Linked DNA regions of Lonchura striata. The protein of the gene in region 1 purifies or fractionates together with the protein of each later gene. This does not show direct contact. Links are inferred from orthologs where the notes say so. Each region holds a gene or a part of one and is shown in the gene's direction. Other genes may lie near its edges. The genes, in order: HADHA and GPC1.

What was found.
Region 2: the proteins of HADHA (region 1) and GPC1 purify together in Homo sapiens (co-immunoprecipitation; 3 studies listed by BioGRID and IntAct, with this or other methods). This does not show direct contact. The link is inferred for Lonchura striata from reciprocal best matches to the Homo sapiens genes HADHA and GPC1.

Annotation. Positions count from the first base shown.
Region 1 is NC_134605.1:113,197,026-113,206,965, forward strand, and holds the start of HADHA (trifunctional enzyme subunit alpha, mitochondrial), read left to right. Parts: upstream 1-6,154; 5' UTR 6,155-6,191; coding exon 6,192-6,279; intron 6,280-9,940. Other genes in the region: HADHB (trifunctional enzyme subunit beta, mitochondrial), read right to left, coding at 799-843, 1,950-2,046, 3,461-3,502, 3,861-3,927. UniProt on the Homo sapiens protein: Mitochondrial trifunctional enzyme catalyzes the last three of the four reactions of the mitochondrial beta-oxidation pathway.
Region 2 is NC_134612.1:2,667,078-2,676,619, forward strand, and holds the start of GPC1 (glypican-1), read left to right. Parts: upstream 1-5,234; 5' UTR 5,235-5,347; coding exon 5,348-5,504; intron 5,505-9,542. UniProt on the Homo sapiens protein: Cell surface proteoglycan that bears heparan sulfate. Binds, via the heparan sulfate side chains, alpha-4 (V) collagen and participates in Schwann cell myelination.

The DNA of each region.
Region 1 (9,940 bases):
TCTCCAGCATCCTCTTCCTGCCAGCTTGGCTGCAGAACAAGGCAAAAGCAGTTGTTCACCCACTCAGAAGAAATCTCATGTGCATGTGGGCCTGTGGGAAGTGTAGCTGATTATGGGCTGCAAACAGTAATGGTGATAATGTCACTATAAATTATTATAGAACTTCATTAAAGCAATTACTTCATAGCCCTTCCACAAAATGGCTCACAGAATCATCAAATCCCAGAATGGTTTGGGTGGGAAGGGACCTCAAAGCCCACCCAGTGCCACCCCAGCCATGGGCAGGGACATTTCCACTGTCCCAGGGTGCTCCCAACCCCATCCAGCCTGGCCTTGGACACTTCCAGGGATCCAGGGGCAGCCATCTCCAGGCTTCTCCAAGCCTTCTCTCCTCTCCAGAGCACTCTGCTCTGCTTCTCAATAAAACAAACCCACTGCTAATGACCCTCAGAACAGGAGGGTCACAGAATTAGCTCAACATCCTTGTAGTCACTTCATTTCCTGTGTTGCCCAGGTTGTTTTTCCCACTTCAACAGCAGGTCTGTTGTCTTTGAAAAACTACAGAAATTCACTAAAATTTGTCACCACCAGCATCTCTTTGCATCAACACCAAGCTACTGAGAATCCCAACAAAAATATAAACCCCACTGCTTAAGCCACCCACTGCTGTGGAGGGAGGCCAGGAAAAATGAAGCACCTGAGCTGTTCAGAGCCAAGCCCAGAGCCTTGGCTCTGCAAGCCTGAAACCTCAGCAGTTTGACAAGAACTCAGAGCCCTCCCAGTGATCCATTTACTTACTGCAGTGCTGCTCTGGCTAAGTCATGTGGCATCAGATCAGCATACCTGGAAGGTGAAGAGCAGAGGAAGAAACTCAGAGGTGTGAGAAATCAGTGCAGAATTCTCAGCACAGAAATCAGGACAGGATTCTCCTGTGAGCAGCAAGAACTGGGGATGGAGCAGAAATGCTCCGCTGAGCCTCTGAGCAAACATTTCAAGGAGTCACAGATTGGTTTGGGTTGGAAGAGACACTAAATCTCATTCAGTGCCAGCCCTGCCACGGCAGGGACACCTTCCACTATTCCAGGTGGCTCCAAACCCCAATGTCCAACCTGGCCTTGGGCACTGCCAGGGATCCAGGGGCAGCCACAGTGCTCTGGGCATCCTGTGCCAGGGCCTCACCTCCTCACAGCCAAAAATTCCTTCCCAATATCCCACCCAAATCCCTTTTCCACTTTGAAGCCATTCCCTGGCTCCTGTCCCTCCATCCTTGTCCCCAGTCCCTCTGCAGCTCTCCTGGAGCCCCTCCAGGCCCTGCCAGGGGCTCTGAGCTCTCCCTGGATCCTTCTCCTCTCCAGGTGAGCCCCCCCAGCTCTCCCTGGATCCTTCTCCTCTCCAGGTGAGCCCCCCCAGCTCTCCCTGGATCCTTCTCCTCTCCAGGTGAGCCCCCCCAGCTCTCCCAGCCTGCCTCTAGAGCAGAGGGGCTGTAATCACTGCTATAAACCCACAGAAAAGCAGCAGGGAGCACATAAGAAAATCCTTTCTCCATCCTGTCTCCATAACAGTCAGGTGTGGCTTTAGTTCAGCTGTGGATTTGGTGGCACAGCAATCCAGGAAGAAGAGCCTACAGCAGATTCTTGGCCCCTGTCCTGCCAGTTCTGTCAAACTTGTTGCTTCCTCTGCTATAAATTCTCCAACTGCTTCCTCTAGACATGCTCCATAAATCCTTACCCTTCCTGGGATTCATACACACACTGACAACCTTCTTCAAACCACATTCCTGCACTAAATACACTGGAATAACTGCAGCAGCCCAACTCAGGGCCCCTCCTGAGCCTCTAGGCCCAAGAATAACTACATTCAAAGGAACAAGTGAGGTTTTTCACAGAAAGAGTTGAGTTTTAACCAAACCAGGGCGTGCTTGCTGGGTTTCACTGGTCTCTGATACTCACGTGGTGCCAGACTGCAGAAAGGGAATGCGGACACCCTCCACCACCACCACATTCTTCACCCCAGTTTTGCCCAAGGTCTTCTTAGTCTTTGGCTGAACTGGGAAGAGAGAAGTGATGGTGACAAGAATATCAGCAATTTTCATATAGATCCTGCAAAGCTTCTAGAAAACAAAGGAAATTGTCCTTTTTTGGTGTGTAAGTGAAAGGCAGGGAAGGTAGGAATCCTGGAATCATGGAATGGTTTGGGTAGGAAGGGACCTCAAAGCTCATCCATTGCACCCCTGCCATGGACAGGGACACCTCCTGCTATCCCAGGTTGCTCCAAGCTCCATCCAACTGAGCCTGGAACACTTCCAGGGATGGGGCCTGTGCCTCATCATCCTCACAGCCAAGAATTTCTTCCTAATGGGAAGAAATTTCTTCCTAATGGGAAGAAATTCTCTCCCCAGTGGGAGAGGTTCAAAACAAGGGATGTCATGACCTGGCATCATTCCACAGGCCAGTGCCAGGACAAAACTCCAGCACTGTCTGGAGATTCCTTCAGGCTCTTCCCAAAGCCTGGCGATGATGGGGAGCTGCTGTCCAGGCCTGTTCCCAAAATCCCAAAGCATGAATCACCTGAGCAACCCCCACAGTGAACCCAGAGCGTGGATCACCCCAGCCACTCACTGTGGGCTGAGACTAAAAACTGGGAATGGTGCTGGGAGCTGGGGCAAACTGGGAACGGGCACTGGGAGCCAGGGGCAGACTGAGAATGGGCACTGGGAGCAGCCTGGGAATAGCACTGGGAGCTGGGGGCAGACTGGGAATGGCCCTGGGAGCTGGGGGCAGACTGGGAATGGCCCTGGGAGCTGGGGGCAGACTGGGAATGGCCCTGGGAGCACACTGGGAATGGCACTGGGAGCTGGGGGCAGACTGGGAATGGGCATGGGAGCAGACTAGGAATGGCACTGGGAGCAGACTAGGAATGGCACTGGGAGCTGGGGGCAGACTAGGAATGGGCATGGGAGCAGACTAGGAATGGCACTGGGAGCTGGGGGCAGACTAGGAATGGGCATGGAAGCAGACTAGGAATGGCACTGGGAGCTGGGGGCAGACTGGGAATGGGCACTGGGAGCAGACTAGGAATGGCACTGGGAGCAGACTGGGAATGGCACTGGGAGCTGGGGGCAGACTAGGAATGGGCATGGGAGCAGACTAGGAATGGCACTGGGAGCTGGGGGCAGACTGGGAATGGCACTGGGAGCTGGGGGCAGACTGGGAATGGCCACTGGGAGCAAACTGGGAATGGCACTGGGCGCCAGGGCACTCAGCAAATGAGAGGACTCTGCTGCAAATACTGCTTTGCCTGAAGTTTTCCTTGCTTGCAGCTTTTCAGGAACACCCGAACCACCCTGCATTCTGCACCATTTCTAAGATTTAAGTGGAACAAGACTGTGGGAAGTGGAGGCAGCTTCCAAAACACCCCTGTCTAGCACAGACCCACTGAGATTCTGGTGTTTCCTCCTTACCTGCAGCTTGGAACGGCGAGGAGCAGCTGAGTGATCGAGTAACTGGAAAACAAGAAAGGGGAAAAAATACCAGAAAAATGTCAGAAACAGTTCTAGTCTCTGCAAGAAGGGTTAGGAAAGCAGATAGTGTCACTCTAAGACACCTGAGCACCTGTGGGGTGTTGGGTGGTTTACTCTGTGCAGAAACCTGGTACACTTTCTGTTAACTGTTAACTCAAGACTCCTCCCCATATGATGCAGGAAGGGACAAACAAGGCAACAATGTAATTAGGATTAAAAAGTAAAAAATGTCAGTCTTTTAAAGGTGAGAACGGGTATAGATTCAGACCCCAGCATCCATTCCAAACCCAACACTTCAACCAGAGGTTTACGGCCACCAATAAAATCTAAAGATACTCACAGGCCCCAGCAGCCCAGGCTGAGGACACGGGGAGGTTCCGCAGGGCAGAGCTCAGCATGGAACTCATTTTGGGATCTAGGGAAAGGCTGGGCTCAGTCCAAGCTGCTGTGTCCAGAACAATCCCAAGGGAAGCGTCCTGCCTGCCTCACACAGAGCCAGCAAGGTGAGGGGCACACACTGCAAGGGCAGCAGCAGCACAGGGAATCACCTCCCACCACGCTTGTGCCTGTGAATAAACACCGCCCTGTGAGCTTCTCAATTCCCTCCCAGGAACTGCTCCTCCACTTCCCACTGGAAAATTGTCCCAGTGCCCAGGCAGCCCTGCTGCCAGCAGCACCTCCTGACACCAGCAGTGTCCTTGGCACCCCTGCCCCTCGTTGGCCCCTGGTGCCAGCCTGAGGATCCTGCTGTGCATCCCCACAGCAAACACAGCAAGTTCGCCCCCAAAAACCCCTCTGAAGCTCTCCCAAATCGGGTTTCCCTATAAACAAACCCTCATCTGCAGTTTATTGCCGAGATGGCCCTCACAGCTCCAGGACTTTGCTTGATCCATGTCAACATTCATCTCCCTCTGTCACACTTTGTGGGTTCAAATCCTGGCACTTTCTCTCCCAAGCACAGAGTTTTGCCATGGAGGGGCACAGGAACACCCACAGTCCCAAACCCAGCCCTCTGCAGTTCCCCATAACTCAGCACAAGCTGCCAGTCACCCCCTTTGACACCTCCCAGCTGCAGCTCCACACCTGGAATGTGACCCTTCCCAGCCCCAGGCTCCTCCTGCCAACAAAAATCCCAAAACCAGACCTTTCCAAAGCATCCTGCTCCTCCTCCACCTCTGCCAACCTCCCTCCCCACACCTGACTGAAGTTTTCCCCTAAATTTTCCCTGCCCAGCTGACAGAAGTTTCTCCCAGGTGTAACCTCCTCCTCCCTCCCACACTGCACAGCCATCTCCTCCCGGTGCACCCCCGTTCCTGCCCCTTCAAAACACCCCAAACTCCCTCATTTTTGGGAGCCAGTGCTCCCCTGGCACCCCAAGGGCTCAGCCCTGCCCACACAAATCGTCAAGACAAAGCTCCTTGCAGAGCCAGGATTTGCCTGGATTCCACAGCTCTGTGACCCTCACGGATCCCTTCCAACTCAGGATAATCCACAATTCCATGAACAGCCCCTGCTCCCTTCCTGTCCCCACACACCCCTGACACTTTCACACCGCAGCACCGCCACCTCCACCCCGGGACTCCCACCCCAAACACACCCGTGCTGCTCTCAGCCACCCCCAAACCCCCTCATCCACCCAGGGCCAACTCACGACCCCTGCTGTCCGCCCAGGACCAGCCCCTCAGTCCTTTCATCCATCCAGCACTGACCCCCTGGGACCTCCTCACCCTTTCCCAGCCCCCCTACCCCATCCATCAGGAATGAACCCACCAAAACTCCCCTCACTCCCATTCGGAACGAACTGCCCGACTCCCCAAACTTCCATCCAGAAAGAACCTCCAACTCCTGTCACGTCTCCCCATCCATCAGAACGAACCCCCCAACTTCCCTCACTTCCAACTGGAATGAACACCCAGACTCCTCTCACATCCAGAACGAACCCCTCAACTCCCCTCACTGCTCCCCGTCCATTCAGAATGATCCAGACTCGCCTCACTGCTCCTCGTCCATCCAAAAGGAAACCCCGAGTCCCCTCACGTCCACCCAGAACGAACCCCCCGCCTCCCCTCACTTCCATCGAGAACGAACCCCCCGACTCCCCTCACGTCCCCCCTCCATCTGCCCCCACCCCCGGCCTCCCTTCATCCCTCCCCGCCCGCTGAGGACAGACCCCCGACCCTCTGCTCCAGCCCGCACCGCGCCTGACCCCCACCCTCCTCCTCAGGACCGCCTCCCGACTGCTCCCACCCTCCCCGCGCTGCCGTCCACGCAGGACGGAGCCCCTGACCGCCCCGTGCGCTCCCGTCCCTTTCCGTCCGCTCACCTCCGCCCTCACCGCGCTCTGCCGCCGCCGCCGCTCCTCCACCCAGCGAGGACCCCGCGCCCCGCCACCCTCGGGCTGCCCGCGTCCGCCTGACCCGCACCTCTCCCTCTACCGCCGCCCCGCAGCCCGTCCCCGGCCTCTCCCGCAATCCGCTGCGGCCCGGCGCGGGTCGCACCCACCCGAGGCTCGGCGGAGAGCGGAGCGGGAGGCGGCGGCGGGGCGGCGGCGGCGGCGAAGCGCGCGGGCAGCGCGGCGGGCAGCGCGGGCGGGGCGCGGCGGGCGGGGCGTGCGCCGTCAGGCCCCCCCCCCCACCGGCGGCCTCTCCTCCCTCATTCGACCTCGGCGAAGATGGCGGCGGCGGTGCGAGCCATCGGCAGCCTCGGCCGCCTCCCGGCCGCCGCCAGGGCCGGCCCGACGCGGCACACCCCGCCCCGCGGTGAGCCAGGGCACGGCGGGGAGCGGGAGCGGCCGCACTGCGGGGGCCCCCGCCTGAGGGGAGCACCGGGGGATGGGGGCAGTGGGGGGTGAGGGACGGGAGGTGCCTGAGGGGGTATTGAGGGAAGGGGAGCGCTGGCGGGCAGGGGGGCAGTGAAGGGGCAGTGAAGGCTCGGGGGACGCTAAAGGAGCGAGGATTGGCGTGGGATGGGGCTCACTGAGGAGAAAGTTTTGGGGGGACGGTGAGGAGGCGCTGCAGGGGTGGCGCTGAGGGGGCGAGGGGCAGGGGGGCACTGAGAGCCGCGCTAAGTGGGCGAGGGCCGGGGTGACATTGAGGGGATGAGGAACAAGGGGTCCCAGAGAGGATTTCATGGTGCTGGGGCAGGAGTTGGGGGTGTCTGGGGGTCACAAAGGGTTCTTGAGGTGATGGCTGTGAGGAGTTCGCAGGAAGGCTGTGAGGGCCGGGACTGGGACAGGGGATCCCCGGGGCAGCTGTGGGGTGGGAGGTGTCCCCATGTGTGTCTGTGCCCCGTGTGAGGGGTTTGTCCCCAGAGTCACCCAAGGGGATCCCTGGCAGGTCCCAAACATCCCCCACCCCGAGGTTTGTCCCCTCCGTGTCCTGTGGTCTCTGGGGGTTGTGTGCCCCCATGGGGACATCCTGCTGTGCCAGTCCTTGCACAGGGACACGCTGTGGGAATCTCTGAGCAGTTCTTGGGGGGTCCCAGTGAGCTGGCACTGATGGGGGGACACACCCTCCAGTCAGATCCCTGCACATGAGCTGAGCCACGGGGAGAGAGTGTCCTTGTGCCCTGACACGTGTGCCTGTCCCCAGTGCCCCGAGTGGCTGCTTGGAAAGGAGAGGGTGTCCCCATGTCCTTGGCAGCCTGGGTGCTGTGGCTGCCCTCCAGGCAGGCAGGTGTATCCATGGGATCCCTGTCATCCCTGTGACCCCGTAGTCCCACTTGCCTGGGGGGAGGCTGTCTCCAGGTGCTCCATGATTTCTCAGCTGAGAGAATTGGGGATGTTCAGCCTTGGGAAAAGAATCATCCTCTGGGGAGAGCTCAGAGCCTGGAGGGCTCCAGGAGAGCTGCAGAGGGATTTGGGACAAGGAATGGAGGGACAGGACCCAGGGAATGGCTGTGTCCAGAGGGCAGGGCTGGATGGGAGATTGGGAATTAGGAATTGTTCCCTGTGAGGGTAGGGAGGGGCCGGGATGGAATTCCCAGAGCAGCTGGGGCTGCCCCTGGATAATCCCTGGCAGTGCCCAAGGCCAGGTTGGACACTGGGGTTTGGAGCCACCTGGAATAGTGGAAGGGGTCCCAGCCATGGCAGGGGTGGCACTGGATGAGCTTTAACATTCCTTCCCATCTAAACCATCCTGGGATTCAGTGATTCCATGATTTTGTGGGGGCATCTCCCTTGCCAGCTTGGGCAGGGCTGTGGCTCTCTCCTGCCTCTGCACGGATCTGGCTTGGTGCCTCCTGGCCACCGAGGCAGGGAGTCCCCAGGAGCCCTGGGAAGGCCAGAGGGCCTGGCTGGGAAGCTCTGGAAACCTCACATTTGAGCACTTTGAAGGGCCTCAGAGTCTGGTGTTGATGTTGACCCAAACTCCAGCTCTATTTCGTTTAAACCCAAACCTGAGCTCAGCAGTGCGGGGTTCAGAGCTGGACTCGGTGCTCTGAGAGCTCTTATCCAACAAGTCCATGGTTCTGGGATCATGGTGAGCAATTCCTGGTTCAGGGATTATGGTGAGCAATGCCTGGTTCTGGGATCATGGTGAGCAATCCCATGGTTCTGGGATCATGGTGAGCAATTCCTGGTTCTGGGATCATGGTGAACAATTCCTGGTTCTGGGATCAGGGTGAGCAATTCCTGGTTCTGGGATCATGGTGAGCAATCCTGGTTCTGGGATCATGGTGAGCAATTCCTGGTTCTGGGATCATGGTGAACAATCCCATGATTCTGGGATCCTGGTGAACAATTCCATGGTTCTGGGATCATGATGAACAATTCCTGGTTCTGGGATCATGGTGAGCAATTCCTGTTTCTGGGATCATGGTGAACAATCCCATGGTTCTGGGATCAGGGTGAGCAATTCCATGGTTCTGGGATCATGGTGGACAATTCCATGTTTCTGGGATCATAATGAACAATTCCTGGTTCTGGGATCATGGTGAGCAATTCCTGGTTCAGGGATTATGGTGAGCAATTCCTGGTTCTGGAATCATTGTTGTGGCGCGGCATGTGGCACAGCAGATCATGGTGAGCAATTCCTGGTTCTGGGATCATGGTGAGCAATTCCTGGTTCTGGGATCATGGTGAGCAATTCCTGGTTCTGGGATCATGGTGAACAATCCCATGGTTCTGGGATCGTGGTGAACAATCCCATGTTTCTGGGATCATAATGAACAATTCCTGGTTCTGGGATCATGGTGAACAATTCCTGGTTCTGGGATCGTGGTGAGCAATTCCTGGTTCTGGGATCATGGTGAGCAATTCCATGGCTCTGGGATCATGATGAGCAATTCCTGGTTCTGGGATCATGGTGAACAATCCCATGGTTCTGGGATCATGATGAACAATCCCACGTTTCTGGAATCATGGTGAGCAATCCCACAGTTCTGGGATCATGATGAACAATCCCATGTTTCTGGGATCATGGTGAGCAATCCCACGGTTCAGGGATCATGGTGAGCAATTCCTGGTTCTGGGATTATGGTGAACAATCCCACAGTTCTGGGATCATGATGAGCAATCCCATGTTTCCAGGATCATGGTGAGCAATCCCACGGTTCAGGGATCCTGGTGAGCAATTCCTGGTTCTGGGATCACAGCTGTGTTACGTGCAGCCTTGGAGCAGGTTTGTACGTGACAGGGAGCTGCAATCACTGAGGAGGAGACTTGTGGCAACTCCAGAGAGTTCTCAGGCTGCTGCTGGTTGGAATTCTTGTTCCAACTGGTGAAGCTCTCCACAACAAACAGCCCTGGAGCTGCTGTGAGGACACTACCACCGTTGCTAATGAATGAATACCCTCGTTCTGCCTTGCAAAGCTTGGGAAGTGCATGCAAAGCTCTCAGGGGCAGCCCAAAGGCAGGGAGCAGTCAGGAGCCAGGTGAGCTCCAGGGCTGGCTGTACCTGCTGGGCCACATCCGTGTGCCACCAGGTTCCCAGGGTGGCTTGGGAAGCTCAGTGTGCCGGGAGTTTCCCTTCTCACGGGTCACAGCTCCGTGCTCAGCTGGCAGGGACAGCTCAGGCAGCCTGAGCTCCGTGCTGCTGGGGCTTGGGCTGCTCCAGGACTGGAAAAAGGCTTTTCCCTGAGCCATGGAGGCAGTTCCCAGTTCAAGGCGTGTGCCACGTGCCGGTGAGTGGAAGGGTGGGAGCTGAGGTAGGAACAGGGAGAAGAGAAAGTGGGAAGGAGCAGGCTGGGCTGTGGGGTGGGTGTTGTCCATTCCCTGGTGCATCCAAAGTCCTGAGGGCACCTGGAGTGTTGGTGTCCTGGTGCTGGACAGTGTTTGAGCTGGAGTGAGCCTGGAACTGATTTTCAGGGCATTAACTCTGGAATCAGTGATGGGACACAGTGGAAGTCGGAATATGGGCTTCTGCTTCCTGCAGCATTTTGGAGGATTTTTCTGGCTTCAGTCTTGGCACGTTCCCATGGCAA
Region 2 (9,542 bases), on another chromosome or scaffold:
CACCTGAAAAATCTCTTTCAAACCAGTTAACTTCAGGACATAACCTCTTGAATTATAAGAGGAAATCATCTACTTGCAACTTTTGCAGGAAGTGGGAAGGAATCTTCTACACATCACCATAGGGGCATGCTGAAAGGACAGATTTTTCATCTAGTTTTGGGGACCATTTTGAGGCATTTCATACTATTAAAGCTGTGCTTATAACACATAAATCAGATTCAAGTGCATGTCGATACTCTTTATTCATTGCTGCATATGTTTTCGAGAGTGGGAAAAGCTTTACTGAAAGTTCCCAGAAAGGATAAATGTACTTCCTGGGGCAGACCCAATTAACAGGAGTTTCTCTAACGAGTTTATGGCATTTATTTCATTTTTGGCCTTTAAGACTTCTTTCTACTGGGAAATCTCTGACTCTTATATAACACAAGTACAGTCTGGCAGGGTGGAGTCATTGGTAAGAGGTCATTAAGCAATACATTGCTTTAAGTTGCTGCTGTAAAATTGTGTGGTTCACTTCAAAACACAGCACAGAGTTGCAATTACCTGCATTAGCCTGATTCTCTGTCTGAAATTACTCAGTTGTTCCTAATATTCCTAGTACGAGCCACACTGGGGAAATGAAAATTCCATTTGAAGGGAATTGGTCTGTTCCACCAAAGGTCAAAGAGCAGCTTGGCACAGCCTTGGCATACACTGCTGCACTTGTCCTCTGTGCAACCCCTCTTCCTCTGCTCCTCAGCATCCAGAATTGTGATTGTCACTGCCCTGGGGCCTCAGTCTGGCTCCCTCAGGACCTGGGAAGGTCTTGAGGCTCTGTACATCTACTGAACGCTATCCCTGATGAATTAATCCGAGCACACAAATCCCAAAAGGTCTTCGTATTTTGGGAAGGCAAATGGTGTCTTACAAAGTCAACTGAGATCAAGCTGGATTTGCCAGTTGTACATAGATGCCCCAGCAGTTTGAAGGGATTGATCTGATATTTTTGGTGATCAAAACAACCTGACACGTGCTGTTTGTGCATGTCAGGGAAGCTTCCTGGGGGAACGTGAGCAGAGGGGAGGAGAAGATGCCGGATTTCCAGTGAAGGGAGAGCCAGGGAAGAAGTAAGTAGCTGCAGATAGCAAGGTGTAATCTAGTAAATCCTCTGAATAACTTAATTAGATTTGATTCAGCAAAACACATGTCCAGCTTCTGCTGAACACCACTCAGTGTTGGGGAGGCAGGGGCTTTTATGAATTCTGCAGGAAACTGCTCTTGCAGAGATTAAAGGAATTGGGCAGAAGAGGTACTGAGATATTCCTGCTTTGATGAAGATTTTTAATTTAAAGGTGCCAGATTTGCTGATGCTGCCAGAGAATCAAAAGTATCATAAACTGGTAAGGGAAAGGGGCAAAGGGTTTCATTATGTGAAGCTGGGACGAGAGAGGAACCTGTAGCCCAGTCAGGCTTTGCCCATCTCTTTTCCTTCCCCACTCCCCACGCTGTGTGAACTTTGCACTTGATGCATAGGGAAAAAAGTAGAAACACCACTGAATTCAAGAGAGAATGCACTATTCTTTTATGTGGCACCAAAGATACAGGGCAATTTTGAATTCTGGGTTTTTTCCTGTTTAGGTTTTGCTGTCAGACTCCAGGTTGCTGTAACTCAGCAGAGGTCCATTTTGGAACCAGCTGGAAGTCTGGTGGGTGTAATTGCATTGCTGCCTGTACAATTCTTGACTTGCATCAAGGTGAAAAAGAGAGGCAAGTCCACTGCATTGCAAAAATTTTGGAAAGTGCTAGAGAAACAAAGATGTCTCTGTGAAAACTGAGGTTGTAGAAAGCCTCTCTGTTCACTTCTTGTTTTAAAGGGTAGCTTTCCCCACTTGTGCCAGACGATTTGGCTCTTCTTCATCCTTCTTGCTCCATAATGCTTGGATCAGCTTTTCAGTGGGCAGTGCTTTTTGTCGGGACTGTCAGGAGGTGATCTCCAGAGCAGGATGGATTTTCTGTCTTCCTTTGGCTATCTTGCTGGCTGGCTGTGTGCTTTTTGCCTCCTCTGCATTTTGTCTACTCATCTTTGTGTTTTACTCTGCCTTTTCGTATCTTTCCCAGTTCTAGGTCTTTCTGACTGTTTTTGGACAATCTTTTGTTTACTTTTTGCCAAGTTCCATTCTTTTAGCTGAGGATGTTCAGAAACTGGATCTGGTCCTCAGATATAGACAATCCAATTTATAATGGATGCCAAAAATACATTTTCATCATGACACTTTGAGGATGTTTATTTCAATTTACTTAAAATGTGCCTAGGTCAAATCCTGCATGTGTATACAAACTTCACAGCAAAAAGAGACGTGCCTCACCACTTAAGATTTCTTTGAGCAGGATTTGATCCTGCACAGACTTGCAGATTTCTGTTGAAGAGCTCATATCAGCTTGTGCTCATTTTAAATTTGTCTACTTATAAGCTTCTCATTATGATAGTATGTCAGCATCCCAAAGGCAGGTGGTTGGGTAAAAAACACTCTTAGCCCTGTTTGGAGTTAAATGACCTGCTGGTGGTCATTTAATGCCTGAGGTTCACAGCAGAGCTTGTAGCTGAGCTGTAGTTCTGAGAAGAGCTGGAGCTGGCAGTGTGAGCTGTGCTGGGCTGGCAGCCTGGTGTCTCAGCTGGGAACAGCAGCGAGCGTGCTGCACTCCCAGGATTTTATCAGCAGTGACGTGACCCCAGTCCCTGCTGCAGGCACTGCCACCCAGCCAGGGAAGTGAGATGTATGGCAAGAAGGGAAATACTCGGGCCTGTGAAAAATCTGTAGCTCAGGGGATGGCTCCAAGGCCAGAGCCCAAGGGCTGCAGTCCCAGCTCTTCCATTGCCAGCTGCTGTGTGAGTCCACAGAGCTTTGTGCTGCAACCTTGGGGTGCAGCCACAGCTCAGAGAGCTTACCCAAAGTCACTACAGGCAGAGCTGAAAGTATATGCCACACGTATTCAATGGCAACACGTAGCCGATCCCAGGATTTGAGAAGGAAAAGAGGAAATTCGGTGCTATTTTGGTCTCCTGTATCACCCACCCCAAGTCATTCTGTGCAGCCAGACCAGATAAAAGGTTTATGACTCTGCCTTTCTTCTCTATCAAGTACTTTGTGTCTTTGGAGTTCACATTCCTGGAGTTCGTTCGCCTCAGCAGACTCAAGTGACACTGTTGTTACCCGTGTGTCTGCAAGTATTTGATTTTCACTCAGGTTTTCCAAGAGGAGGAGGTGTTCCTCCAGTCATGGCAGTGTAGGTACAGATTCCTCTGCTGCTTGTTTTCTGCCGTTGTTGTACTCGGATTAGTTAGATGAGACTTCTGACATGGATCTTCAAGTGATATGTTCAAAGCCTGGGGAGAGGAAAGGGCTATGGCTATAAAATGAAAATAAATCCCCAGGAGTATGGGCTGAAATAACCTCATGACACATAACCTACTTGGTAACCTCTTAAGTGTGCAGTACTTTTGCATTTACAAAAGAGTTTTCATTTAAAAACAGGGTAAGTCAGGCTTCATCCATGGCAGATTTTTCCCCACACAGCAAGCTCCCAGCTGAGGCATATTTTGGGACTCTGTAAGCCTCGGGTTTCTAAACTAAGAGATGATACAAGAGGCCAAAAGGCACAATGTCATCTGCAAGAGAATTAAGATTTGGACTGTATGGGTGTATCTGACTCAAAGCTATTAACTTTTGGTGGTAATGATGTGTCATCTCAGTTATGATCTTCATTACAAAATTCTCCCTGTCTTTGCAGGGGTTTTCCCTGTCCTCTCCATCTGCTTTCATAGATGAATCTAGGAAGTTTTAAGAGGAAATAATTCGGTGATTTTATAGGAAAGCAGCAACTTTCCCCTACTGCCATCCTGCTACTCCCCATGGCTCCTGTTTTGCAGTCACTTCTCCCATTCCTCAGGATAATAAGCAGTTCTGAAGCAATGGGATGAACATCACCAGTTTCCCATGAAGTTTCTCACATCTGGGTGACTGCCTAGTCCAAAAGCTACGATCTCTCTTAAATGTTGCTGCGTTTTGGGGGGGCACAGTGATGGAGTTTGTGTGCAATTTCTGCAATCTTGTAAGGTTTAAGCCCACAAGTGCTCCAGCTGAGGCACGGGCAGACTCCCTCCCCCTTTTCACAGAGAACAACTGCTCTCCAAAGGCTCAGGAGCGACCGCTGGGTCTTCTGGCTGTCGCGAACAGAGTCAGACGCCGGCCAAAAGCCTGCAAGCTCATTTGGAGCAGCACACGGGCATTGCCTTGACGCACAGGTGATCGCATACGTCTCAGTTCTGTGGGAAGCAGCTCAAAACGCGGCTGGCAGAGCTGCAGAGCACCAGCTTCGGGAGCTGGCAGGCTGTTGGATGAAGTAAACTCCAAAGCTGAGAATTTGTCGTAGACATTTGCCTCTCTTCCCACATCTGCTCTTAAAGGGGCACTTTCAGCCTTCCCAGGACCTTGCTGGGACTCTCCGGCTCTCAGCTGAACTGCGTTCTCCTCGCCGCTCTAAGTGTGGAACGATTTAAGTCTTTACGCGGCCGTTGTCCCGCCCCGCTGGGGGAACCCCGGGCAAAGCACCGGGGCCCGCCGCAGACAAAGAAGGGCTCGCTGCGCGCTGTCCTTGCCCAAGGACGGCGGGCGGCCCCGGAGCGCCGTGCGCGCCCTGCCCGCCCGGGGATGCTCGGGGATGCCGGGGATGCCCGGGATGCTCGGGGATGCCGGGGATGCTCGGGGATGCTCGGGGCGCTCCGGCGGCTCCGGGCGCCGCGCAGCGCCCGCGGCGGGGGCGCGGGGCGGGGCGGGGGCTGCGCCCCGCGCGGGATTGGCGCGGGCCGCGTGATGCCACGTCCGGCGGGGGAAGCCCTGCCCGCCCGGAGCCGCCCCGCCGCCGCTCGGCGCGCAGGTGGAGCGGAGCCGGCACAGCCCAGCCCAGCCCGGCCCGGCCCCGCCGCGGGAGCAGCCCCGCAGCCCGCCCCGCGCCCCGCCCCGCCGCGCTCCGCCCGGCCCGGCGGCGCCGCAGCCGGCAGCATCGCGGCGGGACTGCCCGGGGATGCGGCCGCGCTAAGAACAAAAGCCCTCAGCGCGCTCTCGCTCCAGGGCTCTGAAGCGGCGCGGCCGAACTTGGATCTCTGCCCCCCTCGGCCGAGCCGCGGCGGCGTCCGGGGCCGAACTCGCCGTTGCCTTCCCCGCACGCCGCGGGCAGCCGGGCTCGCCCGCCGCCCTCGCCCGCCCGTCCCGCCGGGGCTGCCCGCGGAGGGGCCGCACCCGGCCGCCCCCGCGCCGCGGGACCTTGGCTTTGCCCTTCGCTCGGCAGGTGGCGGGGCCAGCGGAGAAGGATGCGTGTCTTCCCGTGGGGATTTTGGCTGCTGTGTGTCGCCTCCGCCCCGGCTCGCGGTGACAGCGGCAGCAAGGCGAGGAGCTGCGCCGAGGTCCGGCAGCTGTATGGAGCCAAGGGCTTCAGCCTCAGCGGCGTGCCCCAGGCCGAGATCTCCGGTGAGTGCCGCGGGGCGCCGGGGGCGCGGTGCCCGGGCCGGGGCCGCTGCCAGCCGGGAGATGCCCGGGCACGGCTGGGAGCCGCGGGCTGGGGAGCGCTCGCCGCCCCACGCTGGAGTTTGTCTCGGCTCGTGGGCGGCCAGAAGTCGGAGCGGGGAGGTTTCCCCGGAGCCGGGCTGCCCTGCCGCTCTCAGCGCCGCCGGCAGCCCTGCCCTGCCCGCAGAGGGGCTCTCCCCGGCGCTGGCGATGCGAACGGAGCTGCGAGGGGGGCTGGTCGCGCCAAGTGTTCAGCGGTGGTTCTTTCTTTTTTCTCATTGTCTCGTTGCTTCTGTGCTGAGTACAACTGAAACGGGTTTCAGGGTTTTGATTCGGAAATCGGAATAATCGGAGTGTAGTGGGTTTCGGTGTCAGAGGTGGAAAGCGCCACAAGGTTGTGAGAGAGGAATTGATCTATTTAAATCTTCTTCTGGATGGGAAGCAAACGTGTAAATGATATTGGCTACTTAATAAAAATGAAGCAGGAGTAAAATGACCGCGTCAAACGTGAAGTGCAGGGGAAACCTGTGTAACCTACGCTAGAGTGTGTCCTCTTGCTTTCATTCTGGCTTTAGATAAATCTTGGTTGATTTCCTCCTCTTTGTAGAAACAACTGAAATAGCAAGGAATATTCAAGGTCTGGTTTGTGTGGGTTTGGGTTTTTTTCTTTGAAGGCTTGGGGAAAATATGCTGAGGCATTGTAGGGTTTTCTAAAATTCTCATCAAAGTTTTGATACACCAACTTGTGACCCATATCCGAGAGCCTTCTCCTCACTTGTGGGAGCTTCCTCCTTCAGACAAAGCATAAAACATGCAGGCGTACGTGCCAGAGCCAACCCACAGGGACACCCCAGTAAAACTGCAGTTTGTACTGCACATCTAAGCTACACAATGCCTTATGCTGAATATTTCATCAGGTAATTTTTCAGAGAAACCAATTTGTTGTCTGACCAATGAAAGGAGAAGGCTGAACCATATACATCCCTCATAAATGCGAATAAATTAATGCCTTCTTTGTCAAGTTACAACTGAGAGTAAATTTCCAAAGTAAGACGAGCAGCCCTCAAAGTTAAACAGTGGGGAGTTTCAGAACCGTTTGAACATCACTATTAATGGCATAGCACTTCAGCTGAGCAAGAAAGCGGCTTTTTATGAGTTTGCATCTCATTATTGCAGATGTGAATACATTAGCTGTCGTGTTTCAAGTGGGAAGTTCTTGGAAGGCTGAATGTTTACAAACACGCTGGAGGTGGCTGCAGCACTGCGCACAGGGATAGTACTACGGGCAGCACCGAGGCTCGCAGCAGCTGCGGTTAAAAGGATCACGTATCGCAGGTCAGCTGCCAGTAAAACACCTTGTACCTGCAAATTGTTGAGGTTCCAGGAGTGTCAGGACACAGATTTCCAGGATGCAGGAGTTCTGTTTCCTGCTGTGCGTTGGTACGAGCATACACACTGGCAGTCACAAGCCACAGTGGTTAAAATTGGAGTATCAAACCGGAGTCTCTGGCTGTTACTGCAGACAGGGAAACTCTGTAGATAAATGCCATGAAAACTTGAGGAATACTGCATGGAAAGTAATGTGAAGAAGTGCTTGGAGGAAGAAGGTCCCACACATAGAGCCGCTGCTGCTACCATTAGCCCAGTGTTTCAGACAGCTGCCAGACTAGATGATTTTCATTGGTAATTACCTCCTGACCGATGCACATTCAGGAATGCATTTTTGTGTCAGTGTGTTACTTGCCCAGTGCAGTTAAAACATCAGTGAGCGTAGATATAACCTTAGAAACGTCCTGACAAAGCAGTGTTCTGTATCCTCTTTGCTTTTTAGCAGCTGTGCAGGTTAATGCAAAGGTTGGTGCCAGTTTTGCTTGTCTCCAAGAAGAGGCATCTCAAGAGCCTCCTTGCAGTATCCTTATGTGTACCAAGTACAGGACCATGCAGTTTATAATTCCACATTTGCTCGTTGTTTCAGGCTGGTTTCAGTGGCAGTGGTTCAGCTTGCTGTCACTTGAATGGAGCCTTCTCAGGTGACACCACTGACACCTGTGAATGCATCCCCAGGCATACAGCTGAGGAGGGGCAGGTGTCTTCTGCTGTGTCTCAAGTGAAGGGAGAGGAAAGGGTCTTAGGTTGCCAGGGCAAGTCAGATGAGATATTAGAAAGAAATGTTCACAGAAAGAGTAGCTGTGCATTAGGCTGAGCTGGTGGAATCACTCAGTGATGTGCATTAGGCTGAGCTGGTGTAATCACTCAGTGATGTGGATAAGGGGCTGTTATGGTGGTGCTGGGTTGATGACTGGATGAGATTATAGTGCAGGCTTCCAACTTTGGTGATTCTGTGGTTGGGCAGCTTTTGGATTAGTTAAGAGATGTTGATGAACTGAGATCAATGTTGTCTCCTATTGGACTATGCTGAAGTTTCCTGATGGTGGCCTTCTTCATGTTTTAAGAGCTGCCCCATGAATCATGTTTTTATTTTATTTCTGAGCTGCCTAGAGACAAAATCCCTTTCCATTGTCCCTCTCTAAGGAGACCTCGCTGTTCCTTCCCTCCACTGCTTGCCCTGAAGCAAAGGGGAACATTAATTTCTTAGCCCTATGACCCCAAAGTGGTGCTGACCTTGCTCCTGTCTGCCTGTGCCTGGCTCCAGGCACTGCTTGGGGTGTGTTGGTGTCACAGCAGCCCAGCCCCAGGAGCCAAACCCCACACTGCACCCCCAGAGCTGCCCTGCAGAAGGAGTTCAGTGAGCTCCCAGCACGCAGGCTCTGACTCAGACTGAGATTGGCTGTGTTTGTGTTGGGTTTAGAACACTCACTGCACGCTTTACACCTTCTAATCTGTATTCTTAGTTATGATTTAAGAGGATTATGAATAATCTAGTGTCTCCACAGCTCACCAGAAGGTAGTCCCTGCTTGTGGCTGCATGGATCAGCTGGAGAAGAGTCCCACAGTTATTAGCTGGCTAATAGATAAGCATCTGATGCAGGGATAGACTCTTGGCTTACCAGATTTCTCATGAACCACCTAGACAGGGTATCCTGGTTTTTTGCTAATGTTGTACAATGCCTTTAACATGTCTAAGCACTTTAAATGTGTCAGGTGCTGTTATTAAGTGTGTTTAGGGAGTACACAAGGTGTTATATCTCAGTACTTTGAAGTCAATGGCAAAATTCCCGAACACGATAGCAGTGTCTGCTCGTGTTAGCAATCCTGACAGACAGCTGTGCACCCAGAGTCTTGGGTGAAGATCTGCCTACCAGAAAGTTTCTAATGCTGGGGGTAAAGCCCCCTACTCCTTGAGTTTGGGAAAGTTACACCACTTGCTCCCATGGGATGTGCTACTAGCTCGATCGCAGCTTTCCTGCGTGTTGGGAGAGCGTTCCCACTCTCCTTTTTGATGACCCACACCCCCTTTCTCTGATTGCTACAAAATAAGGGAAACCTTATTGTAAGTTGGAGAGCTTCCAGTGTTTTCGTTTCCTCTCGAGTTTTCTGGAGGTGGCAGCTGTTCCTGCTGTCTCACATTCCTGCAGGATCCCACTGCGGGTCCCTGCTCTGGTGGTGAAGGGGAGGCATACCCTGCTCTAGGGTGCTTCTTAGTGCCCCTCTTAGGGACTGGTTACCTCAGGCTCACAGCATGGCTTGTGATAGAGTGAGCCCTCACCACCACGAAATACTGCCCTGTGAGGGGGGTATCCCGTTTTCTCTGACTTGTGGCAGTGTCTTGGGGTTACTGATGTTGGGTGGGTGACTGCTCCCCAGTATCTCGAGCACAGGTAGTTCCCTCATGGGCTGGAGAAGACCTAAGGGTTGTGATTTGATGTGAATGTGCTTGGCCCTTGTTCGCTGTTTGGTTTGAACTTCTGCTTTGGTTTGTTTATTCCTGAGACTAATCGTCTAGCCACTAGATGTGGCTTGTGTTAGGTTGATCTTGTTGACACGGGCAGTGGGTGCAGGGCAGCCAGAGAAGAGGAGGGTACAGAAAAAAGCCAGCTGGAC